Linked DNA regions of Alligator mississippiensis. The protein of the gene in region 1 purifies or fractionates together with the protein of each later gene. This does not show direct contact. Links are inferred from orthologs where the notes say so. Each region holds a gene or a part of one and is shown in the gene's direction. Other genes may lie near its edges. The genes, in order: TGOLN2 and GALNT2.

The links.
Region 2: the proteins of TGOLN2 (region 1) and GALNT2 purify together in Homo sapiens (affinity purification with mass spectrometry; 3 studies listed by BioGRID and IntAct, counting the BioPlex papers as one, with this or other methods). This does not show direct contact. The link is inferred for Alligator mississippiensis from reciprocal best matches to the Homo sapiens genes TGOLN2 and GALNT2.

What each region holds. Positions count from the first base shown.
Region 1 is NC_081830.1:10,982,518-10,993,178, forward strand, and holds the start of TGOLN2 (trans-Golgi network integral membrane protein 2), read left to right. Parts: upstream 1-5,920; 5' UTR 5,921-5,997; coding exon 5,998-6,091; intron 6,092-6,311; coding exon 6,312-7,129; intron 7,130-8,751; coding exon 8,752-8,835; intron 8,836-9,221; coding exon 9,222-9,227; 3' UTR 9,228-10,661. UniProt on the Homo sapiens protein: May be involved in regulating membrane traffic to and from trans-Golgi network.
Region 2 is NC_081824.1:148,732,259-148,743,791, reverse strand, and holds the start of GALNT2 (polypeptide N-acetylgalactosaminyltransferase 2), read left to right. Parts: upstream 1-6,914; 5' UTR 6,915-7,006; coding exon 7,007-7,123; intron 7,124-11,533. UniProt on the Homo sapiens protein: Catalyzes the initial reaction in O-linked oligosaccharide biosynthesis, the transfer of an N-acetyl-D-galactosamine residue to a serine or threonine residue on the protein receptor.

The sequences.
Region 1 (10,661 bases):
GGTGCTGCTTGCCAACCCTGTATTTGGTCAGCACAGGCCTGTGAGGTGGGTGGCACCATGCCTTTGTTTACCAGGGGCCCCCACATTGGTTCAACCCAGCCCTGAACTCAGTAGGAAGTTCCTTCCCAAACAAGACAGTCTTTTAAAGAGCTTTTTGTTTTCAGAGAAACCGTTTCCTTGCTGCTGGGAGAAGCCAAGAACTCCCTGGAGGTTTGGACAGGTCTTAATGTGTCAATTGATGATGCCCCGACAGTGCATCATGCAGGATCCGTGCACTAGAGGGGTAGCATGGTGCTAGAACACCCGTCTGCTGCAACACGGTCCTTTGCGGAGGCACGGGCCAGCTTTCTCTGTGCAAAGGCTGTCCTGAGGAAGAGATTTTCAGCGGGGAGAGTGGGGGTCACGTGCAGCCTCTCTCTTCCCCACCCCAGGATCAGCCTGTAGACAAATAACTCCTTGAATTGGATTTCATGGGAAATTAAAGGCATGAAGAGACCTGTCAGAATAATTAAAGCCTGAACTGGAGCCAGACAGCTTCAAACAGATGTTGGCTTTCAGCAGGAGAGGATTTCTTTGTTTTACTCGGCATTTTCCCATACAGAAAAGGAACATCTGTTGCGATGCTTTGCCGCGCTCCTGAGCAGAGCTAGACGTGGATTATATCCCACTACCAGAGAGGCAACTGGCCCACCCGATCCAACAGTCGCTACTGCCCGGGGTGCTCCCCTCTGCTTCCCGTCGTGCTGCTGGCAAAGAGAGCAGGAGCCTGCTCCATGGTGGGACTGCTCCATTCACAAAGGAATACACTCATGCTGGCAGGGTCTGTGAGTCCTTCGTGCATTGGAGCTGATTGAAAGTTTGCCCCCCAGAGGCCAGGCTGGAAGTTTGCCCCCCAGATCAAAAGTTTGCTTTTGTTTTCAGCCCAAGACTGATTTTTTGCATGTGTTCCCCTTTCTCCCGACAAATGTGGGCTTTCCTGCAGAAAACCGAACATCCAAAATGTTGTGTGAGGTGCAAGGGCTATTATGCCGCATGGGGGAATAGCATGGGAGTATTTTCTCCGCAGGCCAGATGTCCTAGATTTCCCACCGGGCAACAAGACTGTGGTCTACACTTCTTCCCCTATAGTCTACACTTCTTCCAACCTTGTCTGATGCATTGTTGGAAAACTTGTCCAAGCAGGAAGGAGACTCTGGCCAGAGAGACCTGAGCAATGGTTCCCAGGAAAGACTGCAGCAGCATTTCCAACTAAGAACACATTTAGGTGTACAAACCTCTGCACAGCCCAACACCCACATATGTGACAGTAAAGACATGCTACCACTGACTCCAAAGAGGCTCCACACAGGGGCTGTGAATGACACATGCAGGTCACTTCCCTTGACTTCTCCAAATCCTGCCCAGACCTTTTCGGAAGAGGGTCAGTGGCACCCTGTCTTCTTGCAGAGGGATCGGTAGAGGGGGTTTCTTGCAGAGCTGGGGGCTGGGAGGACACCCAGTCATCGAGTGGGTATTCCCTGGCAGTCTGGGAAGGAGCTTGTCTCCCCAGGAGCTGGGTGTCTCCACCCTGCCTCTGCTGTGCATCTGCTCTGCTGGCATTGCAGGAGAGAGAAGGCAGGTGTCTGGTAAGCACCTGGTTTTGGTTAAATTCCCTGGGTCTAATTGTGCTATTTTTGTCTAGGAACATGCTTTTCTCACAGCCCTGCAGGCAGTCTACTGAGCTGCAAAGCTAAACTGAATCATGTCTCATTTTTCAAGGAGACAAAGCATTCAAGGGCTGGCACAATAACCGTGCAGGGGCTCCAGAGACACAGCTTGAGAACGGGATTTCTTGTCCCCTTCGATGCCCAGGATGGAGTGTGGCCCAACAGGGGGACAAGCAGCTGCCCAGCTAGACGGACCCTCTGCAGAGAACTCCTGGAACAGACATGGGGACTCTGAGGTGGAGACCCCAGCCCAGCCTGAGATGCAGCCTCAGGTACACCCCCAAACCTTGAAGAAAGAGGCTGTTTCAAAGATGTTGAGTATCTGCTGCTCCCACTGGGAATTGATGGCACTCAGCACTGCTAAAGCAAGTTCACCAACAGAGGTAGGGCCTTACCTTTTGCCACCCAAGTGAAATTGGTGACCTGAGTGTCTTAGGTCAGCACAGTCTGGTCACCTGGTGCTGGCTCTGCCTTCTCATTTCCACACTCCAAAAAGATCCTAACAAAGCATTAGAGCTGGCTCTGGTATTCGGTACCTGTGTAAGCCAAGGCTGTAGCTGCCTCCTGAGAGGTTCAGTAGCACGGAGTGGTCATGGTGGTGGGAGGACATGGTGCCAGAGTGATGGGGAATGGGAAGGACAGTGCACGAGGTCATTGCCATCTAAAAACAGCTTCTGAGGGCACACGTGCAGACACACACACTGCCCATGTGCACACATGCTCTTCCCTGTCTCTGCCCATGGCCCCCATAGGAAGCCCTTAGCATTAGTGGCTGGAGAGCAGGTCGGCTTGGCTTGGGGTGATATCCCCAGGGCCTTGGGGTCGTTGGCTGCCAAACCCAGACCTTGGCTCAGTAAAGTTCCCACGTCCGCTCTGGAAAGGACCTTGTGGAGGGGCAGAAGGCGGCAGAGAGCTGGTCAGCCCAGCTGACACTGGGAGTAGCTAGGATCTCACTTGTCTTCTCTGCCTTCAGAGCAGGGGTTCTTCTATCACCTCTTTTCTGTTGGCTCGTGGCAGCCATCTTGATCCAACCTCCCCCCACCCCGACCACCCTCGCTTCCCCCCACCACAACACTTCTTTCCCTCTGCCGCTCAGGCTATGCATTAATTGAAATGCCTAATGAGGTCCCAGGGGGCTCCCGCAGAGACGGAGCTAATTAGGGGCGAACCCAACTAACGGTGGGAAGTGAAACAGAGGCTCCTGTGAACCTGCCTTTTGTGAGCGGCTACGGGGGAGGAAGGCACCAGATGTCCTGCTTCCTCACTCTGTGCGCCAGGGACGAGCCAGCGCTTCCCGGGCCCCAGCTCGCTTGCCAAAGCAGCTGGTGCAGAGGCAGAGGCTACACTTAATACATGTTAATTAGCATCATTAAATTCTTCCATTTGCTAATTGTTTCTCCTTTTGATCCTTTATTCTGACCAGATTAGCCCTGGGGTGAAGGAACAGTGTGGAAGGGGGTTGGGGGGATATACTCACTGACAGGGTGAAGACTTCTTCATTCTCTCATAAGGGGTCTTAGACCAGGACCCTCAGCTTTGAAGGGCCCAGCAACTTGCTAGCCACTCGCCGGGCAGCCCTCAGCTCTGCTTCTGTCCACAGGGCCCTTGGGTTTCACCAGTCCCGGGGAAGGAGTTGTCTCAGCTTGAAGGACCACCAGGAAAATTCATGGGGAGAAGGGAAATTATGTGAGGACAAGTATTCAGAGTGGTCAGACTGCCAGGGATGGAGAGCAACCTCCTCCACTGGCCACCACCCTCTCGTGCCATGTGAGGAAGCAGCACCCCTTGGATAATATCACGGCACTCTGCATGTCTGGGATATCTGAGCGCTGTCCTCCGCTCTGCCGCTGCCCTGGGCATGTCACTTAGGCCTGGATTCTCCGAGGTGTTGATGTGCTTAAATAGGAGTCTGTGCTGAAAAGTCAGTAAGTGCCAACCCAAGGCCCTGGGAGCATGGCTCTCCTCTCAGCAGAAGCTGCCCTGATTCTTGTTGCTTTCCAGCTACCATTACCGGTCTGGTTAGATCAGTGAGGCCCCATGTCATGGAGGAGGTAACTAACAGAAGCAAAGCATAAGCTAAAGCCACCATCTGCCTGCTGTCCCCTTGCCTCCAGTCCCTGCTAGTGGTTTTTTGTACAAACGCTCTTCGGTGCACACACAATACTAGTCTTTCACCTCCTCTGCAAGGCAGAGCTGTTCCATGGCAGGCTGCCTTGGTACAGAAATTGCCACCAGCATCAAAGGCTTCCAGAAAAGACCCATACCTCAGCCACTTGCAGGGACTGGAGGCAAGGGGCCCAATTGCAGCATCACTTGAGCCATAGCTTTGTCGGCAACAGAATTCCCCCAACGTAGCTGAGATCAGAACTTAACCTTGCAAGTACTGATCTTCTCAGCTGAGTGAAGGACCGCGATTTCTAATCTGAAAAATAGCTAGCTAGATAGTGCCTTTCGGTCTTAGTGCTTCTGGACCTGTTGAGGGTCAAGTTAGCCTTGTCTTGTTAGCCTCCAGGCCTCCCTTGGGAAAGGCCAGCTCTTAGCTTTTTACTCAGTATCTGCTGATAGAAACACACCAGAGCAATTCTTCTGGTGGAAAGAGCTCAGAAAGCCCATGACTTGGCAGCACGGTTTGGGCATTTTAGATGCCTTTTTGATACCTCTGGGTTAATCATATGTAGATATCAGTGCAGCTACTGGTGCTAATAGTGTGGGGCACCCCCGTAAGGCTCACATTGCACCGAGTGAAGGTCACTGGTCTGCTTCTTAGTTATTCCAGTGCAGCTCCATTGATTTGGGCCCTGGATCTTCACGCTCTTCCAGGAAGTGAGCCCATCTGCTGAAACAGCCCATGATTATTTTCAGGGAATAGTTTGATTTTTGGAAAAAGCTTGGCAGGACTGTTACGTCTGATCGTGGTGCCCTGCCTTAGGATGGTAATAACGATTGAGCATCTGGAAAACCCACCACAGCAAGAGACTAATCTGTGTAAAAGAGAAGGTTACGAGAGTGAATTGGCCACAGGTTAGGAGCCAAAAATGTTCCAATTTGGGGGGTTTTGTGTGTGGAGGTCTTCTGTGCCTCCGGTGGAGGGTGATGGAGCCTGACTAGACCGCTTACAAGAACAGAAGAGGTCAGACAGCGGCTGGGACCAACCGTGTCTCACCCAGCACAGCCAGCTGGGGGCTTTCAGCTCTGCTGGAGCCAAGTTGGGCTTTGAAGGCAAAAGGGCGGATTCCACATCCCCGCAGCGTGGGCTGCCGTCAGCCGGGCCCTGGGCGAGATCCTCTTCTCAGCCTCACGGCGATAAAGGTGAACCTGCCTCCGGCAGGGGTTGGACTAGACGGTCTGCAAGTCCCCTTGCAGCCTGGCCTCTGCCATGATCCTATGAAAGACGGGGAAGGCTCGGTGGCACAGCTCTCAACTTGCATTGGTGTCACTGACAATAGTTTCCCTTCCTCGGGTGTTTAAAACCTCCCTCAGAGCTACTCCAGCCAGCCCTTTCTCTGAGTCTACAGGGGCTGTAGAGTCTGACCCGTCCGTGCCGGGGCTGTGGAGCTGTTCCTGGCTACAGGACAGCAAAGATAGGAGAAGTGAACAGGCTCCCTGGGATCCCGGCCCTTCTTGGCCAGGCGACAGTCGCTGGTTGCCTGGTGCCCGATCCACCACGTCTCGGAAAAAGATGCGCGAGGCTCCAGTGTCTGCTGTTGCCGGTGGAGGCCGGAGCCTCCCGGGAGTCGGCAGCACGGGGGTTTGCGTCGCCAGAGCCGGGCGCTGACCAGAGCACGAGCTGCCGCCCCGGGAACACGCGGCTGTTTCCAACCGGGGGGCCTCGCCCGGGCCCGGGCGGAGGAGCCGGGTCAGCTCTTCTGCGCGAGGCCGCCAGGCCCAGCGGCAAAGGCTCCTTGTGCAGGGAAAGGAAGGAGAGCCGCGCCCGAGGTGGCAACAGCGGGCCTTGCAGCAGGGCCGCCCAGGGGGCGCAGGCCCGTCCAGCTCAGCCGCGCGGCCAGGACTGTGCGCCAGGCGGCGCCCTTGCTCAGCTGTGGGCGCTGCGCCCCGCCCCCAGCCCCAATCATTGGATGCCAGCCCCGCCGCTCAGGGAAGCCACGTCCTCCTCCGGGCAGCCCCGCCTCCGCCACTTCCCATTGGCTGCGCGCCGCCGCAAGCCCCGCCCACGCGCTCCATAGACCTTCCCCCCGCGCCCGTTCGCTTTTCGGGTCTCGCGAGATTTTGCCAGCGGAAGTGTGTGCGGGTGATTCTAGTTTCCCGGAAGCGGAACGAAAGGCCGGTCTCTATGGCGGCGGCGCGGGGCTGGGTGCTGGCGGCGCTGCCGCTGCTGCTGGTCCTGGCGGTGCAAGGTCAGGAGGAGAAGAGCGACCCCGACATGGGTGTGGGCTGCTCCTGCGGGCTGCGCCGGGGGCCTGGGTGGGAGGAAAGGGGTTGGAGGGTTAAGGGGACGGGAAGGGGCTGGGGGTGAAAGGGGGTGGGGGTCTTGGGGCCTGCGACCTCTGCCCCTAAGGGCTGTTGTGGCTGCTGGGGGCAGGTGGGTTGGGCAGTGATCTCCCTGGATGGGTGCTCACAGTTGTTGTGCCTCTGCTCTTCCAACAGTTGTACAGCCAGACCTGTCTGCATCTGTGTCCAATCAGCTGCCCCTACAGGGCAAGAAAAATGAGTCATTATCATCCAAAACGACCCCTCAGCCCGCCCAGACCTCCTCCGAGCCACCGGTGGTGACTGCCACTGTCGAGCACACCCCCAAGTCTGTGGCCCCCGGTGGGCCGGCCCCCAAGGGCGACAAGGAGCCTGTGGCCCCCGGTGGGCCGGCCCCCAAGGGCGACAAGGAGCCTGTGGCCCCCGGTGGGCCGGCCCCCAAGGGCGACAAGGAGCCTGTGGCCCCCGGTGGGCCGGCCCCCAAGGGCGACAAGGAGCCTGTGGCCCCCGGTGGGCCGGCCCCCAAGGGCGACAAGGAGCCTGTGGCCCCCGGTGGGCCGGCCCCCAAGGGCGACAAGGAGCCTGTGGCCCCCGGTGGGCCGGCCCCCAAGGGCGACAAGGAGCCTGTGGCCCCCGGTGGGCCGGCCCCCAAGGGCGACAAGGAGCCTGTGGCCCCCGGTGGGCCGGCCCCCAAGGGCGACAAGGAGCCTGTGGCCCCTGTTGAGCCCACCCCCAAGGGCGATGAGCAATCTTCAGACCCTGCTGAGTCTGTCCCTAATCCACACCTGCCCAGGAAGCTGTCTCCCACGGAGGAGCTGGAGGAACCAGAGGAGGATGGAAAGATTGACAAAATCTCTCCTCCCAGCGGGGAGAAGAAGGACAGTGTCCCCATTGCCCCCAAAGACCCGTCTGAGAGCAGCCACTTCTTCGCTTACCTGGTGACCACAGCCATTATCGTCGCTGTCTTGTACATTGCCTATCACAACAAACGGAAGGTGAGATCTTTGGCCCACCAAAAATACAGAGCTGGCTTCATCTCTTCTCTCTTGAGGCTTGTTCAGTGCAGGGATCTGGAGGGCCTGTGTTTTGATCTTTGGATCGGTGCAGCTCCTGGCTGGGACCTGTGTCTCTGGACATTCTTGCCTGATCCCAGTTATGTGTGTGTTTTGGATGCACATGTGTTACGTATGGTAGTGTAAGAGTGATGTAGCCATGATGGTCCAGGTGTTAGGCAAGAGGCAGGGATTTCTTAGGGCACTGTTTTTTATCGGACCAGCTGTGTAGCTGGGGTAGAGTTAGACACGCTTCTGGATTCCAGACCTTCTTTAGATCTGACCAGAACAAATCTGCTAGTTCTTGATTGTGTGAGGTAAAGTCTAGAATATCTATCAAAATTTTCCAAAGTGTGTTACTGCTTTGGGATTGTCTGGTGCGGGGAAGGAACTCTTCAGTAAACTGGTCTGTCTTGATTTCTCTGCCTGGCTTTAGCTTCTTGATGTGCTTGGAAAGGTGAAAACCATTGACTTGTGGCTTTGACTAGCTCTACAGTCCTTGTCCGAGCTGCTGTGAGGTGAGCAATGAGGAAGTTGTGCCTGGGGAAGTGTTTTAGACACCTGTGAAAATTGCATGGCTTCAGCTAGGAGGCTTAGTGCTGGGGAGGCGGGAAACAAGGTGGGGTAACTGCTAAGATGTTTTATGTATTCACCTACTCCTTCATAGTAGGTGAAAGTTCCTCTTGGGTGCTGAGAATTTGCCAAGTGGTGACCTGCAGTATGGTGCTTTCGGGTGCACAAGGCAAGTGAAAGAGTTAGACGAGCCAAAGGTAATTGCTTGTTGGGTTGCTGTAAAGAGACCTTTACCCATGTTTAACTTTCAACTAGCAACTTGATCAGTGCAGAACAGGGGTGCCTGCCTCTTCGTGTCGCATGTGCATTTGATCCTGAGACTCTAGGTCAAAGATAAAGACTCGAAGGGATATTATATAGTTGATGGGTTGTCCTGGGTTAGGTGTGGACTGTCTGTTTACCCTTGGCAAAGTAAGAGAAACAAACTAACTAGATTTTTTTTTTTTTTAATATGCTTGAGGTGCTTGCTGTTGCTGTTTGGATCTGTGATGTTTGGTGCCTTGCGGTGACAACAGCAGCATCTTCCTAGTCCTTTCCTATACTAGCGTACCATGCTATTTTGGATTTGTTAGGAAATAATCATTTGGAAGGAATATGGGTGAAAGGAAGAAGCTGAATTTATAATGATCCTTCCTATAGACGCGCATCTTTTCTTGAGGTAGTGTCATTCTGGAGAAGCCACATGGTAATTTCTGCATGATGGCAAGACTTCACTGATAGTTCCTTATGCTCTTAATTGTCTGTGAAGTTTACTTGGAGACTGCGTTTCTTTGGGAGCTAGAAGAATACCGAAGAAACTAGTCTTTGCCTCTGATAGAATGGTTTGCTGCCTCACCCATGGAAGATAGAAGTGTCTCTTCAAAGTGGAGAAAATAATTGCTTACACTGTGCTGTTATGGGTGTTTTTTTGTTGTGGTCAGCCCCCATCAGTTAATCTGTTGCCCACTGATGGATTTATCCTTTTGGGTGTGTTTCTCTCCCTCTCTCTCAAGATCATTGCTTTTGCTCTGGAAGGAAAAAGATCCAAAATAGCCCGACGCCCCAAATCCGGTGATTATCAGAGACTGGATCAAAAGGTAAGCCTCAGTTGGCCTCCACTTCTTAACGCAGAGGCGAGTAAAATACGGCCTGCAGGTCATATTCAGCCCACCAGGCCATTCTATCCAGCCCATGGGGCCCCTAGAAAATTAATATTTATATGCCCTTGGCTCCTGTCAAAGATGACAGGAACCAGGGGCAGTAGGACCCAGGGTAAGGCATGGCAGGATCCTGCAACAGCAGGGCCCACCTGGTCCCACCCCCCAGGTGGAAGCCTCTGCTAACAGGGTAAGTTCAGGCAAGCAGTGGGGGCGGAGGGGGAGGATTGCAGGGCTAGCATGTTGTGCCATGTTCTTTACAATGCGAGAGGCTGTTCTATGCTCACAAGCAACTGATTGACATTTTCTTCCCTTTCTGTTTGCAGATATAAATCTGTTCCCTTGGAAATTCTGCATGTTGCTGGGCTGAGCAAGGATGCCAGAATGCAATGGCCAAGGAAGTGCTGCAACTCCCAGCAGCAAGGCTCCAGCCCTCCCAGCCACACTGCCATGTCTTGATCTCAGAGGGGGGTGGGGGGAGCAGGGAAAGTGCTTTTAGTTTTTTGCACCTGCACTTTGGTCATGTTAATGCTTCACTCTCCATCTTTTTGGATTCCCCTCCCTTCCCCTGCGCGCGCGCCCCTCCCCCCCCCCCCCCCCCCCCCCCCCCCCTTCCCCTTCACAGCTGCCTGAAACTGAGCTAGTTTTCCAGCTCTGGTTTCTTGCTTCCATTCTGTGACAAAGGGAAAAACCAAGGGAAGATGCAGCAAAGGACAGAATTTCTTTTGCACCTATACAATGTGGAATTGACTTCCTACTGTATGGACACAAAGGTCTCTGGCAGAGGCCTGCCTGCTGAATGAGCCATCTCAGTCTCCCTCTTCTTGGTCCATGGCGCTGTCTTTTGTACCGGCATGGTTGGTCTTGACAAATGAACATTATCCCCTTGTGTCCAATGTGGGTGGACGCTAAAATTCCTAGCCTAATTGCACTAGTTCCAAAAATGTTTGCCAAGGACTCTTTTGTCTGATTGGTCTCTTGATTCTCTGTGAGGACGACAGGGGTGGGGATAACATGATTGTCTTCGTACCCATGTTTGAGGTAACGGTGGAGTCAGCGCCTCATGCCTCTTTTGACCCCTTTTGGGGTTTTTTCCTGTCTTCAGCTTTCCTGATGGTATTTCTCCTCCTGGGCTCCCCAAAGCTCAGGAGACTGCACTGAAGACAAAGCGTTGAGGTGGGATGTGGTTAGGGAATGCCACAGATGCATGCATAGCTTGGTGCCAAATCTCCTTAGCAAGGTTTTACTCAGCTTTGTCTCTGCATGTCAATGCCTGCCTCTGAAATGTCACTTGAATGTAAGGGTTATGTGGACTCAAGTAGCTTCAGTGCTGGCAAGTAGCTGATACGCCTTTCCTGAAAGAGCGGGGTCCGAGCCCTGAATTTCCAGCCTGGGTTGTTCTAGTTGGCACTGGGTGGACTCGTATTGATCAGAGCTCAGCATAGTGAGATTGGTGTGAATTGAATGTCTGTGTGCAGGGTCTAGCTTTCAGTGTTTCTCCATTCAAGCACAGAACAGATGTTGAGAGGATGGGGTTGGTGGATGGCTGCTGACCATGGATGCATTGCACATGCATTTTGTGCATGCAAGTAGTAGTGTTGGAACTTGACTCCCTTAGGCAGGTGACTGAACTGTTGGTTGCTGTAGGAGGTCATATGATGCAGCCAGAGATGCCCTGCCCTGCCTGCTCTGCCATAGACTTGGCAAACTTGGTGTCACTCAGTGCACAGCTGATTTGTTCAGAATAAATGGGAGGGCATCCTGGC
Region 2 (11,533 bases), on another chromosome or scaffold:
TTATTGAAAAATATACAGCCTAGAAGCTGTGAAGTCCAACATTACCCTAAGGTTTCAGGCCATGGGAGGCAGAAAGGTGGGGCTAACGGGGCTAACAGGGCTTAACACCCCCAACCATGGGGCAGCGATGGCAGTGCAGAGGGCCGCAAGGTGGGGAGGGGTGTACACAGACTTAGATGTGCAGACTGTGCACACAGTCAGGATTGCAGCCCAGTGGTGTGCGAAGCACTGCCCAGCACCACAGGAAAATCTGTGAAGGGGAAGGGGAGGGGGCCAGGGCCAGGGCCAGGGCCAGGTCAAGGCCCCCAAGTGAGGGAGGGAGTGGGGCAGAGGCAGGGACAGGGGCAGGGGCAGGGGCAGGAGCAGGGGCTGGGGTGAATGGGGCTCCAGGTTGGGTGGTGGGATGGGTGGAGCCTGGGTGGCTTGTCCAGGGGTGCAGGCGGGGGGTGGGGGGGAGGGGGCTCTGTCACTGTGTGCACCCTGGAGGAGTCACAGGAGGAACATATCCCCTGGATTTGAGCATGGGGTGGAGGTGGGCTGCTGCTATGGGCTGGGCACTGAGTCCCACTGCTTGAGACCCGCACAGCCCCACGTGCGTGCCACCACCAGGCAGGCAGGGGATGTGGTGCAGCCTGGCCACAGGATGCACATGGCATCATGCGGCTCTTGAGGCGACATCAGCAGGGCGCAGAGCCCAGCCCACAGCAGTAGCCTGCTTCTGCCCCATGCACAAATCCACGGGACACATGCTCCCCATAGTGCACGCAGCTGCAGGAGCCTCCCCGCGCCCCTAGACAAAACACCCAGACTCTGCCCATCCCACCACCCACCCCAGGGTCCCATTCGCTCCTGCTCCTGCCTCTGCTCCACTCCCTCCCTCACTCCATCTGCCTCACAGACGTCCCTTCCCTCTCCTCTACCACTTCCCCTCCAGAGACTTACCTGCTGAAGTGTGTGTGGGTGTGTGTGTGCATGGTGTGTGCATGTGTGTGTGTGTGCGTGGTGTGTGTGGGTGTGTGCTCAGCCCCATCCCCAATAATATTTTCTTCCTCCACCTATGATTCACACAGATTCGGTGTTAGCGATCAGATACTCTCAAAGGTGAGATCATTGTTTCAGTAAACCCCCAAAGACTGAATCTCTCTTCTTCCATCATTTCTTTTCTAAGAGAGCTGTTTCTGTATCATGTCTCAGGCTGAAATCTTGTCAGGGTCCAGAATATGGCAAACAAGTATAATCTGCTGGAGTTTAGGCACTACAGTTTCGCTCAGGAAGGGTACGTTGGAAGCAGGGAAATAGCTGGCACAGGTTTCTGCAGAATTGGCTGGACTGTTACATGTTGTCAAGGTGGCTGGAAATGTGCCCGTCACTGAAGGAAGTGTTTATGAAGTCAGCCATCAGGGGCCAAGGTGTTCTTTGTTTATTATCACCAGCTATGAGGGGGAAGGGTCTGTTTCCTCTGTGCATAAAAATGAGCGTATGCAAAGAATGCTTGCTGCTATACTTTATCAAATGGAAAGGGGCATGGGAGAGGGTCTGATAATTTATCTTGCAAAGCACAAACTCTAGTGCAGCTATCCTAAACTTTGGTGACAAAATATAGAGCTGAAATGCCAATATTTCAGGACCTAGTGAGCTGATCCTTACAGGAGCAACAGCATGAAAACCTACTTTCAGAAGTAGTAGTTGCCTTACACTTTGTAACTGACAATGTAGCACCATCAACATTAACATTTACCTAGAAACAGTCTGGGGTAAAAGAGCTTTGAGGCTAAATTGTTTGAATGTATCCAAGCCCTGCATAGAATAATCTGTGGGCAGGCGCATCAGCTAAAACGTACATGGTGCAGTATTTGTTACTGGTGATTTTAACAACATGAGGGTAAAAAGGGTTTCTGGAAGCCAAGAATGCCACTGCCAGGGTACTTGCCTACTCTGGGTATCATCAGAAACTTGGCTGAAAAATTGAACTGACATAACTCTTGGCACCTAAGCAAAATTGAAACGGTCATGTTGACTCCAACATCTTTGATTGAGGAGATAGTCCATTTCTCCTTATTACCATTGTGTAATGAAGAAACATCAAACAACCCCCTGGATTTTCCCACAGAACTTATGCGTGTGCTTAACGTTTCCATGTCAGGATAAAATTTCTGGATGTGGCCTCTAGTGAATATTTTGAGAATGCTTGAGCAAAGCTTGCACAATCATTTTGGAATATCAGGAATGAACCAAAAGTCCTATTTTAAAATAATTTAATGCAATCTTTCATGAACATTCCTACAACCTAATGAGCAGAAGGTTGAAAAGTGAAACCTGGCATGGAAGTAACCTTCTTTAAGCAGAAGTGCTTTTGCTTGTTCAAGAGGAAATTAGTTTTAATTTGGCTTAGTTGTAAACCTTTGAAAACTGTGATGGAGTATGTGTAGTGGATTATTTTACTAAGCCTGTAAAATTTGCAGCTATGGAATAATTTGCTTTGCATGCCTGGGTGGCTAATTTTGCTTTGAAGTGAAAAGTCTAGTTAGGAGTCTTGCTAGGAATCGGTGAATGTCAGGAAGGTACTTGAAGATCTGACTGAAGATCTTTAGAGTCTGAAAGGGGTACATGGTAGATTTTGTAAGGTGTGTAGGAGCTTGTTACTCAGTTCCTAAAGACTTTGTAATATGTAAGTGGGATTAGGGAAGGCTGCAGAAATTAACATTTTCAACACCCAGAGCGCATCCGCACCAGTACCTGTGCTGGGCCCATCAGCCTTATCTGGAGCTTGGGGGCCTCCTGGGGAAGCAGCGGTATGAAGCCAGCCACTTGGAGCCTGGCTGGCAGCCAGCATGGCTCTGGCTGGCAAGGCTCCAGTTTCTGGCAATGCACACTGCTGCCACATTTGCTGCACCACTTTTTTAGCTGCAGGGATCCCCCAGTGTCAAAAAACACCACTGCGCTGCATTTAGCAATGTGATGCATGAGTGTATGTGCACAGTGTATGGTTTGTAGCCCCTGAAATCGCTTTGAGGGGCTGCTAACTGCACGTTAGCTTGTGGGGATGAGCCTCCTGTGCAATGCTTTCTGTATAAAATTATTTAATCAATAGTACTGTGTTATTGAGCCTGCTAATTTTTTTGTGCATGTGTTCCCTCACTCAAAACCTTGTAGATGTGTCTGGTGAAGGAATGCTTCACTGGAAAGGAGCTCTTACTTTATCTCACTCCCAGCCAACAGATGAGAGCTGCTCTAAGCTATGCCAAGACCCAGACCAGTGAAGAACTGGTCCTGGTACTGGATGGGGTTCAAACAGCTCATTTGAAGGATTTTTCATAGAGAAATTAGCTGTGTTAGTCTGGTCAAGCAGAAGGTAGGGCTGAATGACTGCCCTTCCTTCTGCCTTCTCCTTAGATGTATCTGACATATCTTGGGGGCAGGGTTGGGAAAGGATAAGGGAGGAGATGAAAATTTGATCTAAAATCTCCCTATGGCTCTCTTCCTCATTCCAAGTGCTGTCAGACATTTTATCTGAAAAGTTAAAGCTGGGCATGTCCCTCAGTTTTGTGATTGGAAACCATTTGTCTCCAAAACCAAAAATTTTGAAAGAAAGAAAGCTTTAAGAAAGAAAGAAATTGAGCTTCAAGAAAGAATCATTCATACTAAAGGGCCACAACTTTTTACACCTGTTTAAATTTCCAGAATTAATAATTGTGCTCCACAAACTGTCTTTGTAACACATTGCATTCCTTCATTCAGGGCTTGACAGGTGGAAAGGAATGCATCCTTTCACTGAAATCTTCAGACGCTGAAGAAGTACAGCACAGGCAGTGTCAATTTTGACATAAAAGGATCACCTGTCATCTTCCATGCCTGTTCAGTCTTCAGCTTCTTTGATGAGACTGTCAACAAAGCAGCTATTAGTCTCTGTTCTGGGAGAACAGTAAGGCCAGATTTCTCAACTTCTTTTCTATTAGCTACTGTTTCTTTTCCTGCTAATTTGACTAAATTTCTGCCAATCCTAATGCTTGGTCCCCTGCCACATCCCTATGCTGCCTGGAGTTGAGCCTCCTGGAGACTGACTGCTGATACTACAGCCCTTGGTGCAGATGGAGTGGCAGAAGGGCATGGGGGTTGGCAGAGGCTGATGGTCTGACATCAGTTGACAGAAGGAACAGAGAAATATGGGACAGTCAGAATGGGCATTCATCAAATGGTTTTGAATTTGAGCTGAGGAATGTTCTGCCTAAATTGCACATTGTGATGCTGAAGCACACACTCAGCTTAATTGTTATGGAAAGTTTTTGTGTCCTCTTTAGTTTCCTATTTTTGTTTAATGTCTTCTTACTCTAGAAGAAGGTGCCCAGAGCTGGCCAACAGAAGACTAGTGGCATGCCAAAAGGCCAGCAGCTGACCAGCTGGAGATAATCAGTTGACCCCAGTTAGAGCTGAGGCTGTATGTGTGGCACCTCTCTTGCATTGTTTGGGGATGGGGTCAAACTAAACAGGGGCCCCAACAATAAAGGGAAGAGAATACAGTCAGGAAGAAGTGTCCCAAAAGCAACAAAGCAATGTAGATGTGTGGATTCTTCCATGAGTCACTGACCCTTGTGGGAGAATCTAGGTAGAGTTAGGTAGAGTTCCCTGGAGCTCTTTTTAAACACCACAATTACCAGGCCTTTTCTTGAGGGATTTAACTTCTAAAGTTGGAGTGCATGAAGATGTCTTACAGACTGAAATTTAATTCATACACATCTGTGAATGCAAAATAGGAGTGACTCTGCAGGGATTTACACTGTTTTAACTAAATAAATTACATTGTAGTTAAATTAATACATTTTTTTTCATGTAGATAGGGTCTCAACCTGCTAGGGTGAGGGTGCTAGTGCTGTACCAGCATACCGAGATTATACTCTCTCCTTCATGCTGTGTGTAGATACTAGCAGTCAAGGGTTGGGTGCTGCATTCTCCCAAGACCAGGGTAGATGGGAAAGGGTGATGATCCTGGGTGTCAGCTGAAGATTATGAGGAACAAAGGTCAGAATAAAATGAGGAATGCTACAAATCCTTCTGGTCTAGGCCATAATGGGAGGCTTAAGGGCTATCTTGCAGTTGCCCACTTCATCGTTTTTACAGAGAACCTCCTGTAACACATCTATTCTGCCAGATTAGACACACTGGCACAATATTGTTGGCTACAGAGCATTGGGAGATTGTAGTCAGTGATCGTGGAAGCCTTCTGGCACTGCTTTGTGCAACCCATTGCCTCTTCTTTCAAGGTGCTCCCTGATCAAAAAACACCTTCTGAGTTGTGTACAAGGAATGTGTTTTCGGTTATAGTAGCCACAAGCTAAGGACAGCAGACTTCCATCCACAAGAATGGATGGAAGCTAAGGACACAAGGTAAGGACAGCTCTATGAATGAGCTCTATGAATGAACCAATGAGACTCAGGACGCTGGAAAAGACTTGACATGGAGACTGATATAACCTGTCTGAACTGGCCTGTGTGTAGAACAACACAATACACGGCTCTACACATGCTTTGCTCCGTTATGTTTGGCAGGCATGGCTGATTACCCAGGGAAATGACCCTGGGTGCCTGTCCTGGACCCTCTGAGGACTTGGGTTCATGAGCTTCAGAACAGGTTGGTAAGCATTACCGGTTCTGCTGTGAATTGGGACAGATAATAGCCACGGACATGGGCTGAGTCCAAGGCAGACAGACAGTCAACATCCTACTGCTGGCCCTGCGATGCCAAGTCTTGTTCAGATCACACAGACTCACTAAAATGTTGAGTCACATACATCTGCTATGTGAAGTCCAAGCAGAGCTGGCAGATAGATTTCAGAAGACTGTTCAGCAGAACACGCTTAGGCCTTAGTATTTTGTGCATAAGCTACTGAAACACGGGAGGGGGAGGTTCCCTAACCTCCACAGTCATGGGTTGGGTCAAAAAAATATGCGACCCTCACATATATGGTGACCCTCATTTAGGGCTCCTTCAAGAAACCTTAGAGCCTGACCCTAGACTAGCAGGAGGGTAAGGAATGAGGCACTCTGATGTTCTTGGAGAGAGATTAAGAGGATTTCCCCCCACACGTGGCAGTGCTGAGAGTGGCCTGGCGGCACATGGGCACTGGCTGAGGAGCTAGTGGACAACCTTCCCGATTCACACTGGGATTGCCCCATATTCAGGGTGTGGGACAACCACAACAGCTGGATTGAGGTGCCAAACTTTAGGCAGGAAGGAGGAGCATCACTCCCAAGCAAAAGCAAGGGGTCAGATATAGATTGGAGTTGCCTGAGAAGAGGCCAGTGTTGCTCCGCATCCAGGTCTCTTGGATGATGCAGGACCACTGAGCAGAGCTCACGAAGAGGGGGCTGAAAGGCAGACCAGCTCGCTAAAGGCAGGAGCAGAGCTGAGGGGGCTCATGTGAACAGCAAGGACCCGCAGGGACAGCGAGCTGTCTATGCAACCATCACAGCACCTGGCAGCAAAGGGACAGGCAACCCACTGGAGCACCCGGTGCTCTTTCTTCCCCTGCACGGCGCAGGAAGACTGGGGCTGTCCTGGGGGGCAGAGAGCTCTCATCTGTTTCATTCCAATGGCGGCATCGGGCTATGACTGGGAGCAGGCACGGGCAGCGCCTCCCTCGGGGCGAGCACCGCGTCCACACGAGGACTGCCAGGATCCGTGCCCAGGGCCTACTCCCGGGGGCGGGGCGGCTGGAACCCCACGCAGGGAGTGGCCCCGCCCCATAGAACGCCGCGCGCAGGCGGGAGGGGGCGGGGCAGCCCCTGCCACGCGCCCCTCCTGCCGCGGGCCCGGCGTGCTGCAACCATGGCGACGCCGCTGGCTCCGCCCCGCCCCGCCCCTGGCGGTTGGCGATTGGCGGAGGGGGGCGGGCGTTCGCCCTCTGCCCCCTGACCCTGCGCGGCGGCGGCGGTTGCTGCTGGCCGTTTCCTGGTGGTGCTCGCGGCGGCTGCTGCTGCACGGGGCGGAAGAAGGAGGAGGAGGAGGAGGATGCGGCGCAGGTCGCGGCTGCTGCTCTGCTTCGCCTTCCTCTGGGTGCTGGGCATCGCCTACTACATGTACTCGGGGGGCGGCGCCGCCGTAGCCGGCGCGGGCGGCGGCAGGAAGGTGAGACCCCCTCCCCAACCCCTCCGCGTGCCGCCCCTCCCCTCGCGTTGCCCCGGGTTACCCCCCTTCCCCCCGGTGTGTGTCCGAGCTCCCCCCACGTCACCGCCGGGACTTTCCCCTCCGCCGTTGCTTCTTGCCCCGTGACGTGGAGGCGAGGGCAGGAGCAGACTTCAGCCTCGGCCACGTCCCGCCGCGGGGAGGGCGCCGCCTGCCCGGGGCGGGCTGAGGCACCTCAGCGGAGCGCAGCGAGGACAGCGCCCCCGTCTCCCTGCCGCCGCGCTGCTCTGTCTCTTGTGGGCAGCTGCGGAAAGCTCCTCTAATCCTCCCCCCCAATTTGTCCACCCAGAGAGCGCCCCCACGGGCTTTACCTTGGGGCAAGACCCCGGCTCCCAGCTGCCTGCCAGACCCCGCGGGGCTCTCGGTGCCACTCGGCTGCTCCCCGGCTTCTACTTGCAGCGCGGCCACACACCTCTGAGGGGCTTGTAGCACCAGGGATAGGACGGGCAGCGAGTGGTTCCCAAACTCGGACACATTGTGCACTGTCCGTTTAAAACGGTTCACCCTGAAGTACCGCCAGCACGTTTTTTAGTTCAACCTGCAGCACCACTTGGAAATTGTTGTCATATCAAGTAATTATAATAAATCTGTCAACACGCACCACTGACAGGTTGTCTGTGTACCCCTGGTGGTACCCGTACCACAGATTGGGAACCGCTGGGATGGGGCTTTCCTTGCAGCTGGGGCCCCTCTGCCTTCCCTTGTGGGGCTCTGGTAGTCTGGTGCAGAAACCCTTTCCTATCGGCACAGATGTCTAGAAGGAGCCTTTTGGTGCATGGGGGCGCTTGGCCAACCCCAAAGATGCATAGTATTGTCCTGCTATGGCTGAGCATGTGGTCGTCCCTGGGTCATCCTGTAGGTTTTTCTTGTGACTTTTTAAAACAACACGTTTAATTTTTGGAGAGGTAAATTAGCAGGCCCTTGTAACCCTGCAGGGTTTAATTTTAAGGCCAGGGACGCTAGAAAGCTTTGACTCTAAACATTGTGCCTTTGGTGTAGTGAAAGGGTTTAAATGTTCATTGGCTTGTAATTCCTCTTGTGTACCTCCAAAATGGAGAGGGAGGGTTTGGTGGTGCGAAGGATGAGATAACTTCAGTAATATTGTTTCACTAAAGAATTGGTATCTATTTGGGGGCTGAATCTTAATGTGCCTTGACATAGTAAGATGGGATTTTATTGCCATTTTTCAGTTCAGTTCCTAGAAATACAGGTGTATTCGGGAAGTGTTTTGAGGACCAGACCCTGTAGTCAGTCCTTGTTGTAAGCAGGGATATTTCCATCAATAAAAGTCTGTAGAACTGAGCTCTGTATCAGTTTGCAAATGGCTCAGTGCTTTGCTGTGCTTCATCTTTCACATTTTGAAAGGAATATGCTGTACATCAACTTGGAGGAAAGCATTGCATTGACTGTTACACGCTTACTGTTTAGTTAAACGTCAAACTCATTTTTAAGTGGATGTTGTGCGTTTATCAGAAATGGGTCTGGCATGAGATGCAATTAAGACTTTGGTCTTACTGAGCTTTGGAGATCACACTACTGTATTTTGTATGTAAAAACTGACTCGAACAGCTGATATATAATGAGGTAAGAGAAGGTTAGCCAGGACAAAAATTTTTGTTCTTGGGAAGCTTGTACAAAGAAAAATTATTTTGATGCTTAGCAATTATAATACTTTTTATCAGTTGGATCTTGATACGCTTTACTTAGGAAGTTGGTTTTATCATCTGAAATCTCATTTTATCGTTGGGGGAAACCTAAGGTATAAGCAAAATGACTTGCCCAAAGTTACCCAGCAATCCAGTCCAGTCCAGTAGCAGAGCAGGAAGAAAAACCTAGGTTTTATGAGAGCTCTGGGCACTGATCTGGGACAGCATCACACTGCTGTGTAAGAATGGTATTACTGACAGGGATGGGCGGGGGGTGAGTCTTGTCTCAACACTTGAAAATCAGTTGTTGTTCTATACAAAATTTTCTAAACTGTACAGGTCAGAACAATTAGGAGTTTGAGCAAGAGGAATTAAAGACTGAGAGGGGTTTCAGCAACATAGCCAGAGGTTTAGTATGAGACGATAGTGTAACCGTCTAAAGTAATGGCCTATCAGTGAGGAAATGGGTACTTTGACCATAAGAAACAAGTAGTGATATTAACAATTATACTTGCATTGGTGATTTAGTACTCTGTTTTCTCTCACTGAAACAAAATTTTATCCCAATCTTTGGAATCATTTAGTGAAGATAAATAAGGAAATGTGTATGTACAATAGCTTTTAAAAGCCGAGTAAAAGATTCAGTAATTTAGTGTGTCAAACCCTGATATGAAGTAAAAACACAAACTGTCTTAGCTTTATGAATGAAAGTTTTGCTATACTGCATATCATGGCATACATGACTTGTACTCTTTGTTACTTCTCAAGTATTTTTGTCCAGCAAAAGTGCACAAGAGTCACCTGAGTATAGGTTTTAGTAGACCTAAGTCTTTGGTTTGTTCGGTCAAAAATTTTGAAAACAGAGTTCTTAATTGCATAGGCCTGGTTATACAAAGAACACGTGCTTCTATCAGGATGATGTCATGTACCACTTCAGGGCATAGTCCAGATTTTCTGGGGGTTTTTTTGTTTGTTTGTTTGTTTTTCCTGGTATAGCTTCCAGTCCTGCTTGTTGGTTGATTTTGTTAGTTTCCATTAACTTTAGTAGGTGCCAACTTCTGTGCAAATTTGGGCCCCGTGCTGGGGAACAAGGCTGTAGTGTTTCTCCCTTATTCGAGTTGTCTGGCACTGATATGTATTTTTGTCCCTTGGGTTCTCCGCTTTCAGCCTTTTGAATTTAAGTCTACAAACGGATGAGGCTGATGCTGAGTGCTGGAGCTCCCAACCTTTAGGCAGCTTGCTATTGTAGTGCAATCCACAGTCCTGTATTAGATGCTTAGGCTCCCAACATATGGGAGGAGTTGGGCAGCTCAGAATGGGAATTAGAAAAAAACAGTCTGCTGAGTGGGAGCCATGTAAGCTAGTAAATACATGCCAAGGACATTGGTATACAGTGTCTACTGGTTGCTAGGATCTTGCTTAATGGAATCAGTCAGAGAATATAATCAAAACCCCCAAAGCCTGGTTCTGTGTGATTTTGGGTTTTTTGTTTGTTTGGTTGTTTTTTTTCCTGATGCTTATTAGCATCTCTCTCTATAAAATCAGCCAACTTAATATTGGAGTAAAAATCTTGATCCATAATTTATGCTGAATAAGGTTTCCCCTCCCCCTCTGTCTGGCTGTTAGTCTCAATGAGTAAAATACAACAAGCTTTGGAAACCGTGCAGTTTCTTGACAAGACTCTGCTTGGGCGTTTTTCTTTACTGCCACTTAATAGAATTGCTGGCTATTAGAATCTAACGTGCTTTGCTCAGTTTGATTTTTTTGGTAACCAGTGAATGCTGTATCTTAAATCTCATCCCTTGTTGGGGTTAGGTCTAATTCTGGGCTGCCTCCCTCCACTTGGGTTTCACAAATCTGAACCTGCTCCTGAACTGGATGCACAAACATTTTTTCTTTTAAAAACAGGATTTAGGCCTGTCATTCAGAACACCACCAGAGGAGGTCCTGGCTCTCTTTACACAATAGCTCCATGGTTAAAACAATCAGCATGAAGTCAGAGACTTAAGTTCAAGTCCCTCCTGCCTGGGGGTTTTCAAACTCAAAGCTCTTCCCCCCCCCAGGAGAAAGTTTTCAGCCCCAGATTATAAACTGGGTGAGGGCCCATCTGTCCTTTCATTTAAAGCTGTTCCATGCAAACTGGAGCAGCTTGAAAGGTTCAGAAAATGCAAGCATGGCTCTGGCCTAGTAGTTACAGCATTCGTCTGGGGAGGGAAACATGGGTTTTGGTTTCTGTTCCATTTGACTGTTTACATACTTTACAACTAACAGTTTGGAGCAAGCACTGGAATCCAGGTCTCTACCCAACAGGCAATAAAATCCTGTTTTTTTTTCTCTCTCTTTCTTTCTGGCCCAATGAATCTTTAATTATTTGATGAAATGTGGAATGACTTTAATAGGAGAGATTAAGAACCTCCCCCACCACAGAACAGCTTGATAGTGAAGTTACTCTTCTGGGAGCTGAGCGATTTTTACGTTCCCGTCCTAAGGCAGAGGAAGAAATTGAATTTAGGCCTCTTGCATTCACTGAACTACTGGATAAAAGGAGGCACCACCTGTCTTTGTGTAGAATCTAATCTGTTAGACATACTCAGAGACTGCCTACCAGATTGTGCCCTGAAGCTTAATAGGCAGAAGAATGCCTGATTTTGGATCCTGACATGCTTTAGGCTTGAGCTTAGTGCAGAGCTACTTAACACTGTCAAGA